Mus musculus: one gene and its partners. Each later gene encodes a partner of the first gene's protein in a complex. Links are inferred from orthologs where the notes say so. Each region holds a gene or a part of one and is shown in the gene's direction. Other genes may lie near its edges.

Region 1 (3,944 bases):
GTTTGAGTTTACACAAACATTCAAAGCTGGAGGGAGGTAAGTATCTAGAACATACCTGGATTTGGTGGGGTTTGTTGGGGCTCGAGGTTGGCTCTTGGTTCCTGAGTGTCTGCAAATGATGAGCTAGGAAGTCTGGGGGTCCTGAACTTTGAGAGCCCAGAATGCTCCTATTGCCCAGGAAGGGACTAAAGTGTGTGCTAGTGGGGACAGGGCAGTTAGCAGTTTGCCACACCCTCTCTGCTCTAGTTGGAAGAGCCTGACAACTTCTAGAGGTGGGGGAGGTTGTGACAATTAGGGGATGTCTGGCCAGACCTGTGTGCGGTGATGGAGTGTAGCAGAAGTATTATGGGATGTGGCACTGGGTTGTGTTGGGACAATTATGGTATCGTGGGCTTTTTGAAATTATGGGATGGGAGAGTAGATAGAGTAAATGATAGGACATTTTCCCAGTGTTAGTGGAGGAGATTTAGATGTCCATTTGTGGGGTGACAGCAGAGCTGCTGATCATTAGTGAGTATCTCTTTGCTAGGAGGAATGGTAATTTATGGACCATGGAGCTAGAAAGAGACTGGGAAGGCTGTGGGTGGTAAAGTGAGCATCTAGAATCTCAACCCTAGTGCAGGGACTGAGGGCAGCTCTGGGGGGGTTGGATATTATGGGATATCAGTATAGAAAGTGGGAGACTGATTATTACGGGATCCGTGTGGGAGGAGGCCCAGTGTCCGTTGTTGTAGTATGGGGTGGGTGAGTTTCTGACAATCATGGGATGTCAAACTGGGGGTGGTTATTATGGGATGTCGGTGGGGGATGGGTTGAATATTATGGGATATGAGGCTGAAGTGCTGGGAGGGGTGCTTATTATGGGATGGCCAAGGGGAGGGAGGGGTAATGAGTTATTATGGGATGTTAGCAGTAAGGCCAAGAGTGAAGAAGTTGGCAAAGAGTGGTTATTATGGGTTATCTAAGGGAGGGGGAGCAGGTTTTAGTTTGTAAAAGATCTGCACTATATGTCTGTAGCCCCGGGCACATATATGCATAGAGTGTGGGGGGCGGGGTGTGTGTATGTGGGGTGTCCGTGTGTATTATGGGATGGCCAGGAGGTGGGCGGTTGCCCAGGTGACGCGCGCGCGCGCTCGACGGGGGCGTGGCCAATGGTTGCCTGAGCGACGAGGGGGCGGGGGTTGCCCGGGAGACCTAAAGAGGAGGGTGGCGGTAGTGGAGGGGGGGGTTGGAGTTGGTTGAGGTTATTATGGGCTGTCCGTGGGGGGCGGGGCCTGTGCGGTGGGATTTCCCGGCCGGTGTTTCGGGCCCTTTAAGAGGCGACGCCGGAGCCGGAGCCATTTTCCCCCCTTCGGCCGCGGCGAGGAGGAGCTGGAGCGGGAGTGACACCGGCGAGACCCAGCGCGACCTGAGGCGGCTCTAGGGTGAGGAGCGCGCGAGGCAACGGGAGAGACATCTCTCTCAGCCCGACGTCGTCCCGGGGGTCATTCCTTCACCTGTCCCTTCTTCAGGCGTCCCGGGGCCCGCGGGCCGTCCCCTCTCCAGGGAGCCGACCCTTCTTCCCCGGAGGCGGCCGGGTTACCTCCAGACGGCGCCCTGCCCTGAGGGAGTCCTGCTCCCCGCCCCCCCCCCCTCCTGGGCTCGGCCTCCCACAATGCCGGGCGAGCGCCTGCCCGCCCGCCCCTCGCCCTTTGCTCGCTAGCCCCCCGGGACACGTGGCCCGGCCCCCTTCCCGGTGGGTGCTCGCTTTCCTCCGGCGTCCCGACTCTTCGGGACCCCGGAGCGCCCGAGCCTCCACGCCCCCTGGTCCCCGCCGTTCCGGAAGAGAACCTGAGTTGTCCCAGAGGACAGCCTTTGGAGAGCTGCCCTGTCTGGGGACTGGCCCCTCCCCGGGCGCAGAGGAGCGCCCCCCCACTCCCAAGTGACCTTGTGTCCCCGAGCACCGGCCGCCTCCCCTGACCCTCTCCGCGCCTCCCCACTCGAACCCCACTCCCCAGGCACTCCTGGCTCAGGCCAGGCTAGCTTCTTCCTTCCCCTCCATGCACCAGCCTGCCCTCGGGGGCGTCATTCCCTCTTCTTGGGGGCTCCTGCTGGGGAGCCGGCTCACGGGCTGTCCCCGAGGAGTGTGGAACTAAGTTCAGCCTGAGTGGTTCGGGTGCTTGGCTAGGGTGGTAGGGCAGGGGGGCGGAAAGAGCGGGTGGGGGAGGGGGACTGCGCGTCACTCACTGTTCTCCCCCCTCCCCCGCACAGTGACTCGGGCCAGTGCAGAGGGCCCCAGGCCGCAGGCAGGAGCAGCTGGGCCAATTCCCTGGCCGGGGAACGGAAGGGGATGGCGTCGGGCCTGGGCTCCCCGTCCCCCTGCTCAGCGGGCAGTGAGGAGGAGGATATGGACGCACTTCTGAACAACAGCCTGCCCCCACCCCATCCAGGTAACATCTTCCCGGAGGGCCCAGGGCAGGAAGATGTTTGATCTTTCCTCGAGACTCCAGTGAGGCTGCGTTCGCGCGCTGCTTGTCCCTGTGCAGAACCCAGGGTGGAGGGCATCCGAAGGGAGTGGTTCTTTTCTGCGGAGCTCTTGTGTGCTGGGGGGTGCTGGGGGAGGTGGAAGCCATGTGCCTCTTGGGCACCACGGACCCAGATGCAAGCTGGCTTCACTCAAGGCTGTCTGGAATGCTCCGCAGTCCCCGGTTGAGGGAGCTCTCTGGGTTAGCTTTACCTCGTGCAGGTTCTTGGAGGAATGCAGGTGGTTCCGACTCTGGTGGTGACATGGTGGGGTGCGGTGGGGATTTCTGTTGCGGGAGCCCTGCCAGGCATCTGGGATCCCGCGGTTGTTCCCTGGAGAAGAAAGCGAGAGTGTTGGTTGCTTTCTGTCCCGATCTCTTACGGGTTCTCTGTGCTGTTTCAAGAGTGTAAAGTTTGAATCTCACTCTTTATCAGATCTGTAGAACTTTGTTAGTCAGATTGTTGGGATTTTTTTGAGTGGAGAAGGATGGAGGGCTAGGAGAGGCAGCATGCAGTAGCCTAGTGAGGGCAGAGGGAGGGAATTGGCCCTTGGTGTGGACATAATCTTGGATCTTTACTAGGGGCTTCCGCCACTCTGAGGTAGCTTGGGGTCTGGTCTGGATTGGTGGCGTGAGGTGTTTGTGTGGGTGTGTTAGGGTTTGCACTGTGTTTTGGGGTTGCTCCCTGGACTGGCTAAACCCGTATTATTATAACCATCTTGCCTGAGTGCCTGCCCTCAAGTGATGGCTGATGTCATGCTTGGAAGTGGATGTCTTTCTCTTGTCTCCTTATTTAGAGCCCCCTTAGTTAAGGCACCTATTGGCTTGACTCCCCCACATTCATTGCAAGGTCGGTATCTTCTCTGCGTCCACGTAGTTTCCTACACCGTGGAGCCCGGCTGTCCTGGTTACTACCCTGTGAAGCCTGGCTGTCCTGTTTTTTGTTCCTTACGGCATGGCTCTCACTTCTGCCTTTTCCTGAGCCCCAACTGGAGGGTGAGATATCCAGAAGAAATCATTTTCAAATTTGTCATTTAAGAGAGCCATTATTCTTGCTGCTGAGTCCTAGGCTGCTGAGATAAGGGACTTAGATCTGTGTCTGATCACTGAGGTGTAGGCCTGCGGAGCTCTGCCTTTGCGAGGGTGAGGTGGGTAAGGAGGAAGACTTACTTTTCCTTCCTTGTCTTTATGAGAGGCTGGGTGATGCTGTCTGACCAGCGTTGCTTCCCATCTTAGCCATAACCCCTTGCTTGAAGGTCTGGGGCTTCCCTCCCAAGTGGGAGCACTGCAGGCTCTCAGTGTGAACTCTGCCCCAATCTGTAGCATGACCCAGTTTTTCCTCTGGCCACACCCAGTTCTGCCCCTTTCCCAAATCTCCCTCTATGGCATGCAGCGTGATGGGCCTGAGGAGTTGGAGGGCTGTGTGTGGGTGGAAAGGGGCCC
Region 2 (3,636 bases), on another chromosome or scaffold:
AGAGCTAGATAGTGAGACCCTTTCTCAGAAAAAAAAAAAAAAAAAAAGTCTAGGGTGTTTTCTCTGACTGTACGTTTGTGTACTACCTGCTTGCTAGGTGCCCACTGAGAACAGAAAGAGATATTGGGCCCCCTGGAAATGCAGTTACAGATGGTTCTGAGGCACTTTATGTAAATGCTTAGAATTCTAACCTGGGTCCTCTGGAGGAGCAGCCTGTCCTCTTACCTGCTAAGCCATCTCTGCAGTCGCTTTTTTAAAAAGTGAGTTGAGGGCTAAAGCAGCAGTTCTGCAGACATATATGCAGACAAAACACTCGTATACATAAAATAGTTTTATTTTAATTTTAAAGTGAATTGATTTCAAGGAAATAGGAACTAGATGGCCAGACCCAGGTGGGAGTTTCATTAATGACGTCAGAACAATAATCAACCATGCTTCAACCCATATGGGGCTGGCTCTCATCTCTATTTCTCTACCCACTTCCAAGTTTACTTTCCAGGTATTACTGTCTTCATGTTTCATGAGAAAACGGAAACCTATTAGGGCAAGAAACTGGCGTGTGACTGTAATCCTTTAGCATTTCCGAGACAAGAGCATCAGGAATTCAAGGTCACCCTCCCCTACCCGGAGAGTTCGAGTTCTGACTGGGCTACTTGAGACCTTGTCTCAATCTCATCCCACCCGCCAAAAAGAGTCCAGGAGGAAACCATTAATGAGGTGTTGAGATTCCAGCCAAGGGTCTTGACCAGGGTCCTGACTTGACCTAACGCAATTCTTGATCTATGATGCTCTATCATTGTCTGTGGAGAGAGTAGGGGACTTAGGGTTCAGTGTCGAGCAGCGTCGTTGGCTGCCTTGGACCCACCTGCCTAGACCGAAGATTCAAACCAATCCAGAGAAGGAGCTTGGTAATGACTTTGGTGAGGGAACCGTTGCCATGGGAACAAATACAGGCCTGAGGCGCGCACATGCGCACAGCCGAAGGGGGGGGGACACGGAACCAGTGAAAGGTGACGTAAAACGCTCGGGGTAGGGCGGAGTGCTCACACTGTGGGAGCCGTGGCCTTGGGAGTTCTGAGCGGAGGGAAGTCGCGAAGCGGTGAGGACGAAGTGTGTTCGGCGGCCCGCCACACACCACCGGAGCAAACCGCGGGGACCAGACTGGCCCGCTGCCGAGGCCCCGCCTCTTGGACCTCGGGACTAATCGGATTGAAAGCGCGCCGGCCCCGGGCCCCGAACTCGCCAATTGAGGAGGACGACTGTCACCGCCCAATCCGGGGCAGACAGGTGCGAGGTCCGGAAGGTGGAGGCCAATCGGCAGCGGTTGCGCCCTGCGGGGGCAAGATTCAGCCAATGAGGAGGCTCGAGTGACAGCTGAGCGCGCCAATCGAGAGTGAGGACCGATCGTGCCCGCCCACCCTTCCGGCCGGAGCTCTATTTACCAGGGGCGTGCAGCTCGCTTGCCAATCAGAGTGCGGCTGAGCTGCCGGACAGCCAACCCCAGAGGAGCGGCCGGCTGGCGGCCGCCGCACTGAGGAGTTGGGATGTCCTACAAACCTATCGCGCCCGCCCCCAGCAGTACCCCGGGCTCCAGCACCCCCGGGCCAGGCACCCCGGTCCCTACAGGTGAGGCTCCAACTCCATCCTTGTTCGCCTTGTCCGGGCAGTCGAGGTCTTGGAGAGAAACCGCTCGAGTTTTGCAATCCGGGGCCTGCTAGACGAGCCTGGCTCAGCCTCAGTTTGCTGGCCTGAGAAGTGGGCGTGGTCACGTAGAGCTTGTAGGTGGAGCGCAGGGGGGAGGAGTGTGTCTCCGAAGTTGTTCAGAGTGGAATGAAGAAGCATGCCGTTGGAGGTTAGTCAAGGGAACAGTCCTGGGCTTGGAAATCTGTGACGAGGCCCTTGTCACACTCTGACCTCTTGCTGGTGTCGTTGCAGCCGGGAGTGTCCCATCGCCATCGGGCTCAGTGCCAGGAGCTGCCGCACCTTTCAGACCGCTGTTTAACGACTTTGGTCCGCCCTCCATGGGGTATGTACAGGTGAGTGTGGCCAAGAGCTTGCTTATGGCTGAGGACAGGAGATCCCCTCGGGGTCTGAGATCACGTCTGTATTTTCTTTTGACACAGGCGATGAAGCCACCTGGTTCCCAGGGCTCTCAGAGCACCTACACGGACCTGCTGTCTGTCATAGAGGAGATGGGCAAAGAGATCCGGCCCACCTATGCTGGTAGCAAGAGTGCCATGGAGCGCCTGAAGAGAGGTAAGTGAAGCCACAGGCCTGCCCTTGCTCTGCCCAGGACACAGACACTGAACTTTAAGACAGTTCAGTAAGGATGGAGGATATCTAGAGTCAGGACAGGACATTTGGGCCAGCCTCGATTGGAACAGAACGTGTACCTAAGGAGGGGTTTTAAATGAACTTTTCCATTTTCAAATGAGTCTGTTTCCAAGAAGGTGCCTGGGAACTCGGATTAGCCAACCCTTAATCCCATCCATCCTCATTAGATTAGAGGTGCTCTTGCTGAACCATGGAGCGGTGGGGGAGTGTCTGCTCTGAAGGGTGGCTGTGGACTGTTTCTGGGGCCCTGTTTATTACTTCCCCATCCTCACCGCACCCCAGGCATCATCCACGCTCGGGCACTAGTCAGAGAGTGCTTGGCAGAGACAGAACGCAATGCCCGCACGTAACAGGAAGCACCTTGACCTCCTCGCCGGGACCTTTCTGGCCACTGCAGAGCGCCTGCTTCTCCCTGGCCTTCGCGCCCCAAGTTGCTTCCTATCCTGGGCTTCCTGTCCTGTGTCCCTTAGTGGGCACCCTCCAGGAACCAGGTAGCAGATCTTCGTCCAGTTGGCTGTACAAACTGGTCTCCTCCCTCTGTGGGAGTGCTGGGAGGCCACTGGGAGTCCCTTCCATGACCTGCTCACAGTGCTGATCTGACGGGAGCTTGCTCCTCTCTGTGGCCCCACCACACAGCACTTACTCCTTAACTCTTAGCCCAGGCCACCTCCTGCCTCTTCAACAGGAGTGCAGAAGACCTTCCTGCCTCATCTCTGGGGCCACAGCCGACTCTTTTTTTGGTGTGTCTTTTACTAAATATGTCCTTTTTGTATAAATAAAAGATGCTTTGGAGTCATTCTCTCAGCCTTTCTGTGTGTGGTTCCTCTGGGGAAGCCTGAGTGGGCAGAGGGGAAGGGCAGAGCAGGAACTGGGAAGGGCGCTTGAACCGAGCTTTGCCTTCCCATCTTGTCCATTGCTACCTCCAGCTCTGCGCCTTGCAGCTGAAGGCCAGACAGAACACCAATGATGTCTGCATAAGGAGGTGCCACCAGGGGGCAGCGTAGGGCTTGGCTGCCTTCACAGCTGGAGGCACTATTGGACAGCCGGAGCCTAAAGGGCCCTTCCTGTAGATTGGCAGGCATGCCTGGCAGGGTGGAAATACCAGTTCACTTAAGCCTCTCCCGTGAACGTCCTAATGCCCCTACACCAGCTCCGCTTTAAAACCATCCTTGGAAGGCTCTAAATACACCGGGTCCCTGACTCCTAAGGGAGGCAGTTAGAGGCTCCTTCCCCCCCACCCCCAGCACCTTGGCTTGATGCTGCTATCCACTGTCCTGACAACTTCCACAAGGCTGGGTGTGG
Region 3 (3,500 bases), on another chromosome or scaffold:
TAATAGATTGACTTTAATGAAGTTCACCTTCCACAGTTAACGTCGGAGAAGATTGTCCGGTGTTTGATGGACTCTTTGAGTTTTGTCAGCTCTCCACGGGTGGTTCAGTTGGTGAGTATCCTAAATCAGTCAGCCTCAAGAGGATCTGAAGGGGTTAGAGTGTCTGTAGGTTTTGTCTAAAGCGGAAGTTGTAATGGTAGTAAGGTTGTGTTGGCTTGATTTTGCTGTATCACCCAGGTGGGCCTCCGTCTCAGCCACCTCTGTGGCTACCTCCCAAATGCTTGCTTACAGACATGTGCTATCATTCCAACTTAATGAGTACCCAAGCTGTCTTGTAGTTCACTGTGGGGCCCGGGCTGACCTTGATATTGTGGAAATCCTCCCCTGGAGCCTCTCAATCATTGGGATTAGAGGCTTGGAATATTATGATATTGCTATTCACTCTTCTGTTAATGTAACAAAACCTGCGGTAACTTTTAAAAGAATGGTTTATCTTGGTTCACAGTTTGGGAGCTTAACTGGCCCTGTCCTTGGGGACTGTGATAGCACATTATGGTATGTGCATTTGGGAGAAGGCCAGTTTACCTCATGGCCGCTGAATGGAGAAAAGAGGATTCCAGTATCCCTTTCAAGCAAGATCAGATCTCCAGTAAACTAAAATCAGATCTTGGCTCTTAGAGAGTCCACCCCCTTCCAGTGGTACCATACTGGTGACTAAATGTTCCCTGGGGTTCTTAGAAGGCATTTCAGGTTCAAAGTAGCAAGTATAATTGTCTTTAAAATGCCAGTGTTTAACAGTTTTTACTTGAACACAGTCTTTAAGCTTGTGTCTTTTTACTCAGAGACCTTTTTCTCCTCTTCTTTCTTCCGCCATTTTTACTAAGACTTTGCATGTGCACTGTGATTTAGTTGGGTAAACTGTAGGAAAATGGTTATCTGAGGAAAGCTTAGGCTCCGAAGTTATAATCCTTTGCTTTTGAATGCCAAACCTTTTGTGCTTACACATGGCATATTTAATAGGGCTTCGCTTATATGTATTTTGTGTAACCTGATTTTTTAAAATTCTGAGTATTTTATAAATAACATAGCATGTATCTCCTTCTTAGCTGGGGCTGTGAAATTAAACCGGCAACAAACTGATATGGCTGTCAATTGGGCTGGAGGACTACATCATGCCAAGAAGTCAGAAGCATCAGGGTTCTGCTATGTTAATGATATTGTGCTTGCCATCCTCGAATTACTTAAGTAAGTTAATTCAAACTGAATTTTCCCTGTGATCAGATCTCTTAATTGAAAGAAAAAAATGATTTTAAAGACTATCAAATAAATGGTAATAGATTAATGCTGAGTCTTCCAGGGTTTGTTGTGAGCCCCTGCAGAAGTGTGAGAAATAGACCACTACAGTGGGAGAGCGAGAGGGCAGACAGTGCCGTGCCTGAGACTGCCGGTAAATGGTCTCTGCTCATTTAGGTTTGCAGTCGTCTAAGCTGATTAAAAATGGCTGCTAGAGATCCGGAAATGTGAATGCTAAAGTAACTTGAAGTCAAGCCTTTGCAACTTGTGTTATAAGAAGTTTGTCTGGCCACTTAGTAGCGTGGCTGACCCCAGTTCTCTCATCCATCCTCTACACAGACACACAGAACACATAGATAATAGACACACAGTGATGCCCAACTGCTGAAGGGGTTTTGGAAGTTATCCTTCACTGCTTTTTCAGAAGTGTGAAGGTCCTTAGGAGTGTGGACACTTGTGAAACTAGCTTATTTTCCACTGTTAGCTATAATGCTGCAGTGAGTTGTATTTCAGCTTTGACTGCAGCTGTGTTCTGTGGGCTTTGAGAGTGATGCTCTTGCCCCGCATGTACATCCCAAGAGTTAACTTCCTGACCTTAAATAAACAGCAGCTAAGTGCTGTCAGTGTAACATATCTGACTCCCCCAACCGACAGAAACCGGAAATCTCCTTCATTGACTTGAAGCTTCTTCCACTGGCTTCAGTTCTAGAGATCTGCTGCTTTTTCCTTCATAGCTTAGTCTTGAGTAAGCCCAGTTCTGTACAGTTCTTCACCTGGTAAATCTGAACATGATTTGATTGGTTTGGTAAGCAGCTCTCTTTGCTCATCTAAACACATTGGGCATTTGATCATGTTTGATTTTGAACTTTATGAAGAAGTTCTGCTATGATGAAGCCCGCTCGCTGTTTGCACTATTTTAGATTTTCTTAGTGTTGCTTTTCTGTGCCTTGAGAACATAAATGCCTGGGTTTGATCATGCCAGCTTACGTTGTATGAGCACAGTTACAGCATCTTTAAATAATAAACAAAATGTTTTAAGTCAGCCACAGTGACAAGATAATCATTTACTACCTTAAATGGTGAATTTAAATTTCATTTTGTATGTATTGGTGTTTTGCCTGCGTGTGTGTCTATGCACCACATGTGTGCAGTGCCCATGGAGGACAGAAGAGGCCGGTAGATCCCCAGGAACTGCTGTAAGAGATGGTTGTGAGTCACCATGTGGGTGCTGGGGATTTAACCTGGATTCTCTAGAAGGCAGCCAGTGCTCCTAACTACTAGTCCAACTTTCCAACACCAGTAGCTTTTTTTAAATACAGTTTTTTTCTATTTGCACTTTGACATAGGGATGGAACTGATGTCATTCTATGGTGGAGTGACTACAGAAGCTCATTTGAGTAGTTGCTGTGACTGGTGGTGTACAGAGCATCAGGGAATGATGAAGGCACTTGTGATCTGTCACAGTCATGAGGTCTTAGTATGCTGTAGATGATGTGTAAAATGTGCTCATCTCGCTGTAAAAGGTGTTTATGGATATGGACATTGGACTGTCTCAGAACTGTCATGTTATAAAATACTCTGAGTTTTGTTTTATTCTTGGACCATTGGAAACCGGGGAGTGGGGTGGCACACCGGCATGCCAGAGGCAGGTAGGTTTGAGATGAGCCTGGATGAGCAGCTATCAAAATAACCACAGGGAAAAGGAAACAACCTATAGTTCTGCTCACTCCAAAGCTGTTGAAAGAATAAAAATAATAACAGCACTATGTTGGTTACAGTTGCCCATAGATTATTTTATAATGCTGAAATTTTTTTAATTGATTTATTTTCACTTTATGTCATTTGTGTTTTGTTTACACATGTGTCTGTGTATGTGTTGGATTACCTGGAACTGGAGTTACAGGTAACTGTGAGCCTGCTGTGTGGGTGCTGGGGACTGAACCTGCGGCCTCTGGAAGAGCAGCCAGTACTGCCAACTGTTGAGCCATCTCCAGCCCTCCCTCCCTCCCTCCATGTTGAGTTGTGTTGTTTGTTTGTTTGAGATAGGGTTCCTCTGTGTAGCCATGGGTCTCCTAGAATTTTCTCTGTAGACCAGGCTGACCTCAGACTCAAGAGACCCACCTGCCTGTACCTCCTGATGGCTGTGATGAAAGGTGTATGTCACTAAGCCCAACAATTCTGAAATTGTGTAATGTAGCCCTTGGCAT
Region 4 (3,500 bases), on another chromosome or scaffold:
AGGCAGGGTCTCCCTCGAGCACAGGCTGGCCTCCAACTCGCCACCCCCTTGCCTCAGCATCCTCTGGAGAGATTGGATCACAGACATGTGCCACCACAGCCCAACTCTATTTCTTCTTCTATGTGTGCACATTCCTATGTGGGTATACACGTGTGCAGGTGGACGTATGTATATGTGTCCTTGGTGCCCTCATCTGGATGTCAACAGTCAAGTTGGGGACTAGAGAGCTAGCTCAGGGGTAAAGAGTCTAAGGAAAAGTATCAGCCCAGGATCAGGTTCTCACACAAAGGAGAGCCAGTTGCCCCAGAAGGACAGAGGACAGGGAATAAGAGACAAACATAGGAGATGGAGGATGAGGAGGAAGGAGAGGAGGCGGGGGGAGGGGTGTCTGTCTCATTGAGGCCTCTGCAGAGAGAGGAGACGGACGAGCGCATAGGCAAATGGAGGCTTATAAAGGTACAAGGGGAGTCTTAGTGTTAGAGTGAGGTGACTAATTTTAATTGGGCATGTTAATTAGATGAGCCAAAGGGGGCTTTGGATTGCAGAGACTTTGATTGCTGGACCTTGGTAGTCAGCCTAAGGAGGAGGAAGTGGCCAAGTAAGGAAATAGGCCTTGTGGTTAGCTTTAGGGATGTAGTCTAACGGTTTTCAGTAAGGCAGAGGGAATGAGGGAGAAGGGTACGGCCTGCCAGAGCCATGCCTGCCACGCTCCACTCTCACCACTCTCCAGCGGGTGCCCTGATCTTGCAGAGGGCCTGAGTGTGGTTGCCAGCACTCACATCAGGGGCACACAATCAACTGTCACTTTAGCCCCAGGTGTGCCCGGCACCTTTGGCCTTCTAGGGCACCTGTACTCATGACACATGCATATAATGAAAATGTTGGTGCAAAATCTGCCTGGAAAAAGCCAACTTTATTATATGTTTTAAGTTAAAAGGGGAAAGGGGTTTGGCCTGGCTTGAAAGGAATTTTCCAAGAGCGGCACATGATGGAAGTTATTCTGAATTGGCTAAAGGCAACTACAACTACGTGTAGTAGTCTATTTTCTGGCTCTTTTGGTGTGGGTAGGGGACTGGACCCAGGGGCTTTCCATGCCCAGCCCAGGTCTAGTGCTAGCGGTAGTCCAGCTCTGCATGCTGGTTTGTGAGGTGTTCTTAGTGGACACCCTCCTGTGCTTGCTGACTTACAGGCAGGGACAACCGTTCAAACAGGCTCTGTGTAGTAGTCCGGGCCTGCATGTTTAACTGTGTTGCACCTCCTCGGTTCCCATCGCTCTTTGGCTCCGCTTCGGGAAGCTTTTCATGTGGGACCCAAGTGTGAGCGGCAGAAGCTGACACAGGCTGTGTGTCCAGCCAAACAGTAAACCAGCTGGGGTCAGGCCTTACTAAGCATGGTGCATAGGAGCTGTGCTCTGCTCACATGATAGGGACTTTCTGTATTCAGGAAGAAATTCTAAAGTGAGATTTTGTTTCCCGAGGAAAGAAACAGCAGGCAGGTTTCTGATTTTACCTGGCTCTCCTGACTTAGCAGTGAGTCCTCTCTTCAGGACCGTAGCAATCCTTAAGAGAGCTTCTAAACCACTCTGTTCAGGTTTTCCACACTGCCAAGGAGCTTCAGAGTAATAGTCATATCCATGGAAAGACTTATTTCTAGACATGTATATAATGAAGTAAATTTTAATTAACAAAATAAAGTCTCAGCAGCCTGAGGCATAAGTCAAGATGTGGCTCCTCTCAATAGATGTGACAAACATTTGATGCGTGCTGGAAACAAGCAACTTAGTATCTTCGGGGTACTGAAAACCGCACTCGCACATCTTGTGTGTGTTCATGCTTGGCCTACAGCCTTAGGAACTGGCTGTAGACAGGCCCATGCAATGCACTGTAAGGGAGCCGTGGCTTCAGGGTGTCTCTGAGGTTCCATTAATTTGAGATCATGGATTTCCTGGTCCCTTCCCCTCTGTCTTTAGCCACACAGTCTCATCAGTGGTATTCCTGGGGCCCACCTAACATGCAGTGTAGACTCTGCGCGACCTGTTGGCTGTATTGGAAAAAGTATGGAGGTCTGAAAATGCCTACCCAGTCAGACGAAGAGAAGTCTCCCAGCCCGACTGCAGAGGTATGTGGGAGGGGTCTGCAGGTTGAAAATGCCACATTTCCTGGCTATTGGCCTCTTCCTTGGAAGCAGAAATGCAACACAGAACTACTTACAAATATGAGCAAAACTGGGATTTAGTGCTGTATACTCACAGTGGGTGTGAACACCAGAGCCGGGAAAAATGGGAATTTTTCCCCAGGTATTCAAAATATTGGTCTTTTGAGATTATTCAGGGGGGAAAAAAAAGGATAGTGTGTGTGGGAGGTGTTTGCCTGAGAGGAGAGCTTACAAATTGTCTTGTTTTTAAAAACAACTTGTAACCTTTAGATACTGATGAGAACACTTTATTATATAACATAGCAAACACAAATTAAGCCTTTTCTTTCCTTGGTTATTGTGGAGGGACGAAAAGGGCCCAGTCTTGAGTGAACCATAGTTGAAAGATGGCCTTGGTAAATCCGTGTAGATGAAGGATGTCTACCAGAGGAAGGCAAGTCCGGAATCTTAGGATTCCTTACAAATAATAAACATCCCACAGGGCCACTCGATCAATCGATTGATCGATCGGGCAGCTTCTCACCAATGGTGCCTATGATCTGAGACTGAGTTCCACCCCTGCCCTGCGCACTCCCTGCGTTCTTCCCAGTCGGGCACACTGCGTTTCCCTCGAGGGGCAGGTTCCTGAGTGACAGATGCTTCCACGTGGCTGTGTGCTTTGGCAAGTTCTCTTCTGAAAATACCATTGTTTTTCACAATTACAGGACCCGCGCGCAAGAAGCCACATGTCCCGGCAGGCCTTGCAGGGCATGCCGGTCCGGAACACCGGAAGCCCCAAGTCTGCAGTGAAGACCCGCCAAGCTTTCTTCCTTCGTACTACGTATTTCACAAAAATTGCTCGTCAGGTCTGCAAAAGCACCCTGCGGCTGCGGCAGGCAGCGAGACGGCCGTTTGTTGCTATTAATTATGCTGCCATTAGGGCAGAATGTAAGACGCTTTTCAATTCTTAACCTTCCGCGTTCCGCTCCTTGCCATCCTCTCTCTCCCTCGCTCTCTCTTTTTGTTTGTTTGTTTGCAATAAACATAAGTTCTTGTGTACAGCCTTTGTTTTTTTTTTTTTTTAAACATTGTTCTTGTCTGCTGCCATTTATATCATGCCACCCTGAAAAACAACATCAAAATCCCTGTAAATTTTCAGAGTAGCACTAATCAGAAGGTGGGGGAGGTGTCCGGACCGAGCGGGCTTTTGTGGCACAGTTGCCCAGAGGGACCTTAAGTGATGCACGTCTACCAATTTGGTAGCGTGGCAGTGTAAACTCAATAAAAGCTCTAAGGAGACATCACAACCCAGTCTTAAGGGTTCATGAGGTTTTAATAAAATTTGCTAATTTCTACTAGTTAGGAAT
Region 5 (4,034 bases), on another chromosome or scaffold:
CACCAGGAAGCAGTTTGCCAGAAGGAGCCTAAGGGTGCTGCTGGTGGTGGTGGGGGAGGGTGGAAGAGGAGGTCCCCTCTTCTGCACCTTTCGTCCCAAAGAAGGGGGGATTAAGACCCCGGTGGTGGTCCCCTTTTTTTCTCTAGCGGAGAGGCTGACGCCGTTGTCACCAGATCCACAGATGATGTCTAAATATGACTAATTAAAAAAAAAAAAAACCTGCAAACCATGGCGATTAAAAACAACAGAAAAAGGTGGGCGTTTTATGTAATGTGATGAGCATTACTATGCAGGCAGAACTCCAAAATATAGTACCTTTGGAAGGTTATTCATCACATCCCAAATACGTTTGGTTGTGACGTTTCAGTCAGTTTAGAGATGGGCGGGGGCGTGTGTGGGGCGGGATAGGGTGGGGTGGGGAGGGGAAGAGGGGTCCAAAAAAAAAAAAAAAAATGGAGTGCAAACTCCGGGGAGTCGAAACTTTGCCAAGTTCACTCTTGCCTCCTTAGCCTATAAAAACCGTGTCGGGCACACAGTAGGTGCTCGGTTGAAATATTCCAAAGAGTTCGTGTGACAAACGTCATGACGGATGCAAGAGCGAATTTTCTAGTGGAGGTGTCGTTGTCTCTCCATCCAGCTTTTGTCAGTCTCAAAGGCGTCTTGGGTTCCCAAAGGGTTAAAAAAAAAAAAAAACAAACTCACTTAATCCAAGCAGAGACATGACATTTTTTTTTTCCCCGTCTCGAAATAAATGTCAAGAATGGGTTATTCTAATTCTGGGATAGAGCCAGACGTGGGCATCTGGAATGATTTCCGTGAATTAAAAAAAAAACAAAAAAACAAAAAACAACAAAAAAAACCAAAACCAAAAAGAAAAAGAAACCCAAAAAAACCAAAACCAAATCACCCCAATCGCCACCATTTTCTCCAGGTAATTTTCCATCCCTGCCCCCACAGTCAAGAGACACTGAGAAGAAGAAGAAGGAAAAAAAAAAGTACTTCTTCCATCCTCCCTGGCTGTTTAAGAAAAGAGGAAGGCGCGGGCCAATGAGCGGCGCGCGGGAGGCCGGGGCGCGGCGGGGGCGCCGCGGGGACCGCAGCCCCCCAAACTTTGGCAAGTTGCGGGCGGCGGCGCAGCGCGGGGCGCGGCCGCGAGAGGAGCCGCCCCCTCGACGCCCGCCGCCCCCTCCCGGTCCGGCCCCGGCCCAGCACCGACCGGCTGGGCTCAAAGTTTGCGGCCGCCCCTGCGCCGCGCGCCCGATGTATGGGTGATCTACTGCGGCGGCGGCGGCGGCGGCGGCGGCAGGGTGAGGGACGGCCATATTTGCCGGCGCGGCCCGAGCCGGCGACAACAAAAAGTGCGCGGGCTCCCGGCGGGCGCTCGGACGGCTGCGGGGACGTGGGGCCGCCCGGCCCGGGCCTCGGCCTCGGCCTCGCCGGCGCGCTCGCGGCCTGGCCCGGCTCTGCCCGGCGCGCCCGCCGCCCGCGGGGATGTCGTACAAGCCGAACTTGACCGCGCACATGCCCGCCGCCGCCCTCAACGCCGGTGAGTGAGAGCGAGCGAGCGCGGGCCGCGCGCGCCGCCCCGCGCCGCAAGTGTCGCCAAGTTGGGGGCTCGCGCTCCGGGCCGCGGCCCGGGGCTCCCCGGAGGCGCGCGGTGCCTTGGGCGGGCGTGCTGGCCGAGGATGGTGGCGCGAGGGAACGGGGCGGAGGGAAGGAGGTGTCCCGGGCCGGGGCAGCGGGAACGCCACCGCCGCCGACTCAGCCGCGCCGCCGCCGCCATGATTCCGCCGCCTCCGCTGCGCTGCCAAAGTTCGCGGTGCGCCCGGAGCTCGGCGGGGCAGCGGCCGGGGGCTCCCGGTGTGAGCGGCGGGGCGGCCGCGGATGGCGGGGAAGCGAGGACGCGGGCAGCCGAGCGAGGAAGGCTCCCCCCCCCCAGCTCCCCCCCTTTTTCTTTCCCCTTCCCTTAGGCTTTTTGGGCGGCTCGGCGAGGGCCCCTGCCGGCGGGAGGCGGGCGACGCAGTGAGCAAGGAGCGGGGCTCGGAGGGTCGGCGGAGCGGGACAGGCTGGGGCCGAGCCGGGTGCAGGGCGGCCGCGGGCCCGGGAGGGAATCTGGCCAGGGTTCCGGGCGGCGGGCCCGGTGGGCAGGGGCCGCTTCCTGGCGATGAGAGCGACTCCCGGGTTCCTTCCCCCGGCCCTCGGGAGACCCCTTGGAAGAAGTTGCAGTGCCCCGGCCTCGTGGGTTCTGTGGGCGGCATGCTGCGGCTCGCCGGTCCCGGGGGTCCCCATCTCAGATCTCCCACGTGGGGACGTCCCCGCAGGGCCGCGCTGCGCAAGCCAAGTGGACCTGGTCTCCCTTCCCCTCCGGGCCTGGGCGCCGCCGAGGAAACTCTTGCAAAGTTCCCAGGCAGCTTTGGGCTGTGGCTGGGGGCTAGCCCCGGACCCCAAGGGAACCCGGAATAGGGATGTGAAACTGACTTCCAGAGGTGACTGGCTTTGTGTCCAATTCCAGTACCCTCTCCTCCCAGACATTTGGCTGTGAGCAGACCACCCCAAGTAGTCTGATGCCCCAACAGATGCCAAGTAGTGGGGACCAGGAGGGATAAGGCCTTTGGGAGGAGTTGGGGGTAGAAGTTGGTTATGGTCGCTGTGTGTTAAAAATCCCACCCGCGTTGGCACTTCCAAGTTGGAGGTCTTGTGTCCAAATGTTGATTCCAGAACTCCAGAAACCCTCAGAGGGACCTGGAAAAGCTCTGGACGTGTGTTTTAAACCACTTCTCTGCTCTTTGGGGTTTGGAAAAGGTTGAGATTTAGGGTGCCAGCCTGGGAGAGTTGAAACGCTAGCACGTGGGCACAAAGACCCCCCCCCCCCAAGAGCATGCAGTCACTGTATCTTTTCAAATGGTTTCACTCCCTTTGGGTGACAGGATTTGTCGTCAGATATGATTTTTGCCTCTCAGTCTTCTTGGTCAGTGTTTGGGATGGAAGGGCAGTAGGTTGCGTTGCCAGCCCTAGGGAGACCAGAGACGTAGGCTTGATCTGGGCTAGTTTCCCGTGTGTCTTACACTGGGGACCTTTTGGGGTGTGGGTCCCAGTGCAGACCGCCCCTGGGACTCTGAAGCCCTGTTCTGGGCTTGCTAGCACCTGTATTCAGCTGTAGTTATTTTGCCAATGGGGAATGCCAGGATGCGTGCGGGGGTCTCCAGGTGTTCGGCATTTTGGTGGGGGCCCGCCCGCTTGCCGGTATTACTTTGCAGAAAGCCCTTCTCTCCCCTGCCATCTGCATCCAAGATGGACTCTCACAGTGGCTCCTCCGCCTTCCCTGTCATCATCTCTCACGCCCTCCAGGCCTGCCTCCTGCTCACTGAGTTGCCAAGCTGCGGCCTGGCCGGCAGTGGCAGTGGCGGAGTTAGACAAAGCCCCCGCCTTCCCCCGCCCGAGAGCCCCCCCCCCCCAGGGCGCCCCAAGTGGCGGGAAGGCCGCCAGCTCCCCAGGCCCAGGCCGCTCTTTGTCTGGCATGGGGGCGGGGAGCTGAGCCTGGCCCCAGGAGCTTCCTGGCCTCTGCCAAGCCCTCTCAGCTCTCTCACACTGCGCTCATTGTCTGAGATGCTCCACACCGGCTGAGCTGACGTGGAACCGCCTCCCTGGCCTCCTTCAGCCCAGGTGCCGGTGTCTTCCGGAAGAAGGGGGCATGATGGGCGGAGGAGCCCCCTTCCACCCTGAATCCCTCCCGGGGGGTGGGGGAGACAGACACCTTCCCTAATACTGCATATGGTGCTGGCTTTGACGCAAAGTCAGGTTTATCTCCACTCCTCCGGGGTGGTGGAAAATAGGCTTGAGGTCCTCCACCAGTATGGGGGGTACTTCTCATTCTTTCTGTATCCCCACTCCTCTAAGGGCATTCCCAAAGCCTTTAACCCTTCCATTGGGAAATATGGCCTCAAACAAGTAGAGAAACTGAGGCCTGGAAGAGCCTTGGCTGGTCCTACAGCCAAGTGGCACTGCTGGGACAGACCCCCAAGTCCTGGAGAAAA
Region 6 (3,500 bases), on another chromosome or scaffold:
GGGCCAGCTGCCAAGGAGCTGTGGATGAGCTGGGCAATAGACCCAGGAACAGGGAGCACTGAGGGCCCAGGTGGTGACGGGAGGGAGGAGGGTGACCTTGGGCCCAGGAGACCACTACTCAGAACTAACACCATGCTGATTGTATGGAGTGAGGCTGGGCTTAAAGCCTGACACAGGAAAGATTAAGAAAGGCTGTGTTGTGTGAGTGTCAGCCTGCTGGCCAGGCACAGAGCATCAGAGTCAGCCATGAGGATGCAGCCTGGTATGGTCTGTAGCGCTGTGCTTGGTGCCTCTTCATGTGCTTGCCTGCCTTCAGCATGGAGAATTTATTCCTAGATACCATGTTTTTTTTTTTTTTTTTGCGCTCATAAGTTGATTTCCCTGCTCCCCTCCCCCCATCCCCCAGGGGTAGTGGTGATGTTTGAGACAGGTTCTCATGTAGCCCTGGCTGTCTTGGAGCGCACTATGTAGACCAGGCTGGCCTCACTCACAGAACTCTGCTTGTTTCTGATTCTCAACTGCTGGGGTTAAGGGAGTGTGCCACTGTGCCTGGCCTTCATTAGCTGAGTTTCAAAAGGTTGCAGTGACAGAAAGACAGTGGCTTTTGTGAGGGGGCTGTACACAGCAGCCTTGAGAGCCCCTCACCAGGCAAGTACCCTCTAGCAGTTTGATGAGGACTCACCTAGTCCTTACTTCACTTCTGTTGCTGCAGGGCTTCTGCCCTGGGTCCTGGACAGGCAGGACCACATCCCTCACCCTCAGAACTGGACTGGCTTGTTGGATGCAGCTAGAAGAGAACACTTGTCTGACACCTCTGTCTTGTATGTGGTATTTTTCAGGATTTCTTCTTCTACTCTCTAGTCTACGACCCACAGCAGAAGACCCTCCTGGCTGATAAAGGGGAAATTCGTGTAGGAAACCGGTACCAGGCTGACATCACTGACTTGCTGAAAGAAGGTGAGGTTCAGGCTGGGCCAGCAGCATGGAGGAGGCTGGAGGTAGTACTTGTAGCTTTTACCTAGGCTTCAGCTCCTCCAAGCCTCCGTCCTAGTGGACATTGGCATCCAGCCGCAAGGCTCAAACCCTAGAGCCGCCTGTTGAGCCCTGTGGCTCCTTGACCTCGGATTTCCCTTTGGTAGCTCATTATGAGTTTGATTTTATACTGTTTCTGCTAGGAAAGTATTCTGCCACGTGCCACATTCCCACCCTTGTTCCTTACTTATTTTATTCTTTTGCCTGCATGTATGTCAGGGCACCACTTGTGTGCAGTGTCTATGGAAGTCAGAAGGCATTAGGGTTAGAGAAGGTTGTGAGCCTCCCTGTGGGGGCTAGGAGGTGAGTGAGCCCAGGTTTCCTGGGAAAGCAGTCAGTGCTGTTAACCACTGAGCCATTTCCCCAGCTCCATCCCATGTTTTTTGAGACAGGGTCTCATTTATTTATATAGCCCAAACTGACCTTGAACTTGCCTTCCTCTTTGGCAAACCATCACACCTGGCTCATTATAATTCTACATTCATGGTGTGTGTGTGTGTGTGTGTGTGTGTGTGTAGAGTCTGGTTTTTCATTCCCCAATGTGAGACTCAGGAATCCAATTTGTCCTTCAAGTCCTTAGTGTACTTTGGAGGTCAGAGGACAATTTGTAGAGTTGGTTCTGTCCTCTCACGTGGTTCTGGAGGCTGAACTCAGGTTGTCAGGCTTAGCAGCAAGCACCTTAGCGTACTGAGTCATCTCACCAGCCCCTCCCCATTCGGGGGGTTAAAATGTCTGTCTGTCTGTCTGTCTTCCTTCCTTCCTTTCTTCCTTCCTTCCTTCCTTCCTTCCTTCCTTCCTTCCTTCCTTCCTTCCTTCCTTTCATTCATTCATTCATTCATTCATTCATTCATTCATTCATTCATTCATTCATGTAGGGGTTTAGTCAGGAATGCCCTACAAGAATTGAGTCTATCCTAGGTGGCAGCAGAGATCAAACTCAGGTTGTCAGGCCTGGTGGGAAGTGCGAGCAGATTGACATGAGCTGGCTCAGACCTGGCATCCAAGGCGTGCAGGTCCCTTCCACATCTCGCCTCAGCATCCCTGGCAAAATGCTCTGATGGGCTCCAGATGCTCTGTCTCCTAAGGAAGCACTCAGCCTCTGACCCAGTCAGGCTCCGCATTTCTGGAACTGTTGGCTTAGCTGGGACTGGGGGCTCAGAGAGCACCACTTCCGTGCACCAAGTCTCTGAGGCAATTGCTGTTTGGTTGTTTTGGGGGCCTCAGCTACAGCTTGTCATATGCTAGGACAGTGTGCTGCCTTCAGGGTGGCTGGCCCGACGTAGCACCTGTTTCCTGCGTTTTCCATGCCCTTCCCTTTGCCTTGTGGTTTCTGTTTGATTTTCTGGTGTTTGTTGGACCTCAGAATGAGGTGCTAAGCCCACTTGGGTGGCAGCTGGGTGTGGCCTGGCTGTTGGAGTAGGTGCGTCCCTCTGAGCTGTGTATGGGAGGCTGGTCTTTTCTGACTTCTGTTCCGTGCTTGAGCCTCGTTACCCTGTCTCTAACACCTGGGCCTCCAGATGCCCATGCACAACCTCATAGCCAGAGCCAGCCAGTTGCTGCCTGTTCAGCTTATTCCCCAAATAGCCCCAGCCTTAAAGCTCTGTAGACAGGCCTGAACTCTGTCCAGCCTCCTAACTCTGAAGCCACGGTATCCGCTTTCTCAGCCTGACTGAAGGGAAGTGTCAGAGGGAAGTGTCAGAGGCCAGCCGAGGCTGTCACAGTCACATGAACTTACACAGGGACCAGAGAGGTGGGAGAGGTCTCAAAGGTCAGAGGACCTTGCTTTCAGCCTCTGTTTCTCAGAATCAAGCTGCTCCAGGTGTCCCAGGCATGTGTGGGCTCATTGGCTAGTGCTAGGAGAACCCCCAAGAAAGCTATGCTTTGTCTGTGGGGCCTGCCTGTGAAAAAAAGCAGGACCTCAGGGGAGTCTCCAGCTACCACAGTGTCCTCCTCCTTCCTAGTCTCTGCAGCCTTTCGACACAAAGGTCAGCGGCTTCCCCATGGTATCTGTCTTCAAATTAAGCTTTTAGCCGGGCGTGGTGGCACATGCCTTCAATCCCAGCACTTGGGAGGCAGAGGCAGGCGGAGTTCTGAGTTCAAGGACAGCCTGGTCTACAGAGAGAGTTCCAGGACAGCCAGGGCTACACAGAGAAACCCTGTGTAATTTAAAAAATTAAACTTTTAGAATATGTGTGTGTGTGTGTGTGTGTGTGTGTGTGTGTGTGTGTGTGTGTGTGTGTACACACCTCCTGTCTGGACAAGACCAGAAGTGTTGCATCTCTTAGAGCTGGAGATACTAATGTTTGTGAGCTCTGGTAGACAGGAGTACTGGAAATTGGAACTTAAGACCTTTGGAAGAGCAATGTATGCTCTTGACGGCTGAGCCATGTCTCCGCCCCAGTGTGTGCATTTTGAATGATGACATGGAATGCTTGCCTTCATTCACTGTATTGGAAATTTCAAAGTGA

What was found.
Region 2: Chd4 (region 1) and Cdk2ap2 share a complex: the UniProt entries of both Homo sapiens proteins name them as parts of the nucleosome remodeling and deacetylase (NuRD) repressor complex. The link is inferred for Mus musculus from reciprocal best matches to the Homo sapiens genes CHD4 and CDK2AP2.
Region 3: Chd4 (region 1) and Hdac2 share a complex: the UniProt entries of both Homo sapiens proteins name them as parts of the nucleosome remodeling and deacetylase (NuRD) repressor complex. The link is inferred for Mus musculus from reciprocal best matches to the Homo sapiens genes CHD4 and HDAC2.
Region 4: Chd4 (region 1) and Mta3 share a complex: the UniProt entries of both Homo sapiens proteins name them as parts of the nucleosome remodeling and deacetylase (NuRD) repressor complex. The link is inferred for Mus musculus from reciprocal best matches to the Homo sapiens genes CHD4 and MTA3.
Region 5: Chd4 (region 1) and Cdk2ap1 share a complex: the UniProt entries of both Homo sapiens proteins name them as parts of the nucleosome remodeling and deacetylase (NuRD) repressor complex. The link is inferred for Mus musculus from reciprocal best matches to the Homo sapiens genes CHD4 and CDK2AP1.
Region 6: Chd4 (region 1) and Mta1 share a complex: the UniProt entries of both Homo sapiens proteins name them as parts of the nucleosome remodeling and deacetylase (NuRD) repressor complex. The link is inferred for Mus musculus from reciprocal best matches to the Homo sapiens genes CHD4 and MTA1.

Annotation. Positions count from the first base shown.
Region 1 is NC_000072.6:125,094,837-125,098,780, forward strand, and holds the start of Chd4 (chromodomain-helicase-DNA-binding protein 4), read left to right. Parts: upstream 1-1,144; 5' UTR 1,145-1,424; intron 1,425-2,187; exon of another isoform or gene 2,188-2,250; 5' UTR 2,251-2,329; coding exon 2,330-2,429; intron 2,430-3,944. UniProt on the Homo sapiens protein: ATP-dependent chromatin-remodeling factor that binds and distorts nucleosomal DNA. Acts as a component of the histone deacetylase NuRD complex which participates in the remodeling of chromatin.
Region 2 is NC_000085.6:4,095,882-4,099,517, forward strand, and holds Cdk2ap2 (cyclin-dependent kinase 2-associated protein 2), read left to right. Parts: upstream 1-1,469; 5' UTR 1,470-1,544; coding exon 1,545-1,626; exon of another isoform or gene 1,627-1,830; coding exon of another isoform or gene 1,831-1,852; intron 1,853-1,935; coding exon 1,936-2,036; intron 2,037-2,123; coding exon 2,124-2,256; intron 2,257-2,616; coding exon 2,617-2,684; 3' UTR 2,685-3,136; downstream 3,137-3,636. UniProt on the Homo sapiens protein: Acts as a component of the histone deacetylase NuRD complex which participates in the remodeling of chromatin.
Region 3 is NC_000076.6:36,988,044-36,991,543, forward strand, and holds part of Hdac2 (histone deacetylase 2), read left to right. Parts: intron 1-36; coding exon 37-111; intron 112-1,106; coding exon 1,107-1,245; intron 1,246-3,500. UniProt on the Homo sapiens protein: Histone deacetylase that catalyzes the deacetylation of lysine residues on the N-terminal part of the core histones (H2A, H2B, H3 and H4).
Region 4 is NC_000083.6:83,789,684-83,793,183, forward strand, and holds part of Mta3 (metastasis-associated protein MTA3), read left to right. Parts: intron 1-1,969; coding exon 1,970-2,118; intron 2,119-2,858; coding exon 2,859-3,081; coding exon of another isoform or gene 3,082-3,104; exon of another isoform or gene 3,105-3,194; intron 3,195-3,500. UniProt on the Homo sapiens protein: Acts as a component of the histone deacetylase NuRD complex which participates in the remodeling of chromatin.
Region 5 is NC_000071.6:124,351,829-124,355,862, reverse strand, and holds the start of Cdk2ap1 (cyclin-dependent kinase 2-associated protein 1), read left to right. Parts: upstream 1-1,234; 5' UTR 1,235-1,491; coding exon 1,492-1,546; intron 1,547-4,034. UniProt on the Homo sapiens protein: Inhibitor of cyclin-dependent kinase CDK2. Also acts as a component of the histone deacetylase NuRD complex which participates in the remodeling of chromatin.
Region 6 is NC_000078.6:113,122,278-113,125,777, forward strand, and holds part of Mta1 (metastasis-associated protein MTA1), read left to right. Parts: intron 1-839; coding exon 840-957; intron 958-3,500. UniProt on the Homo sapiens protein: Transcriptional coregulator which can act as both a transcriptional corepressor and coactivator. Acts as a component of the histone deacetylase NuRD complex which participates in the remodeling of chromatin.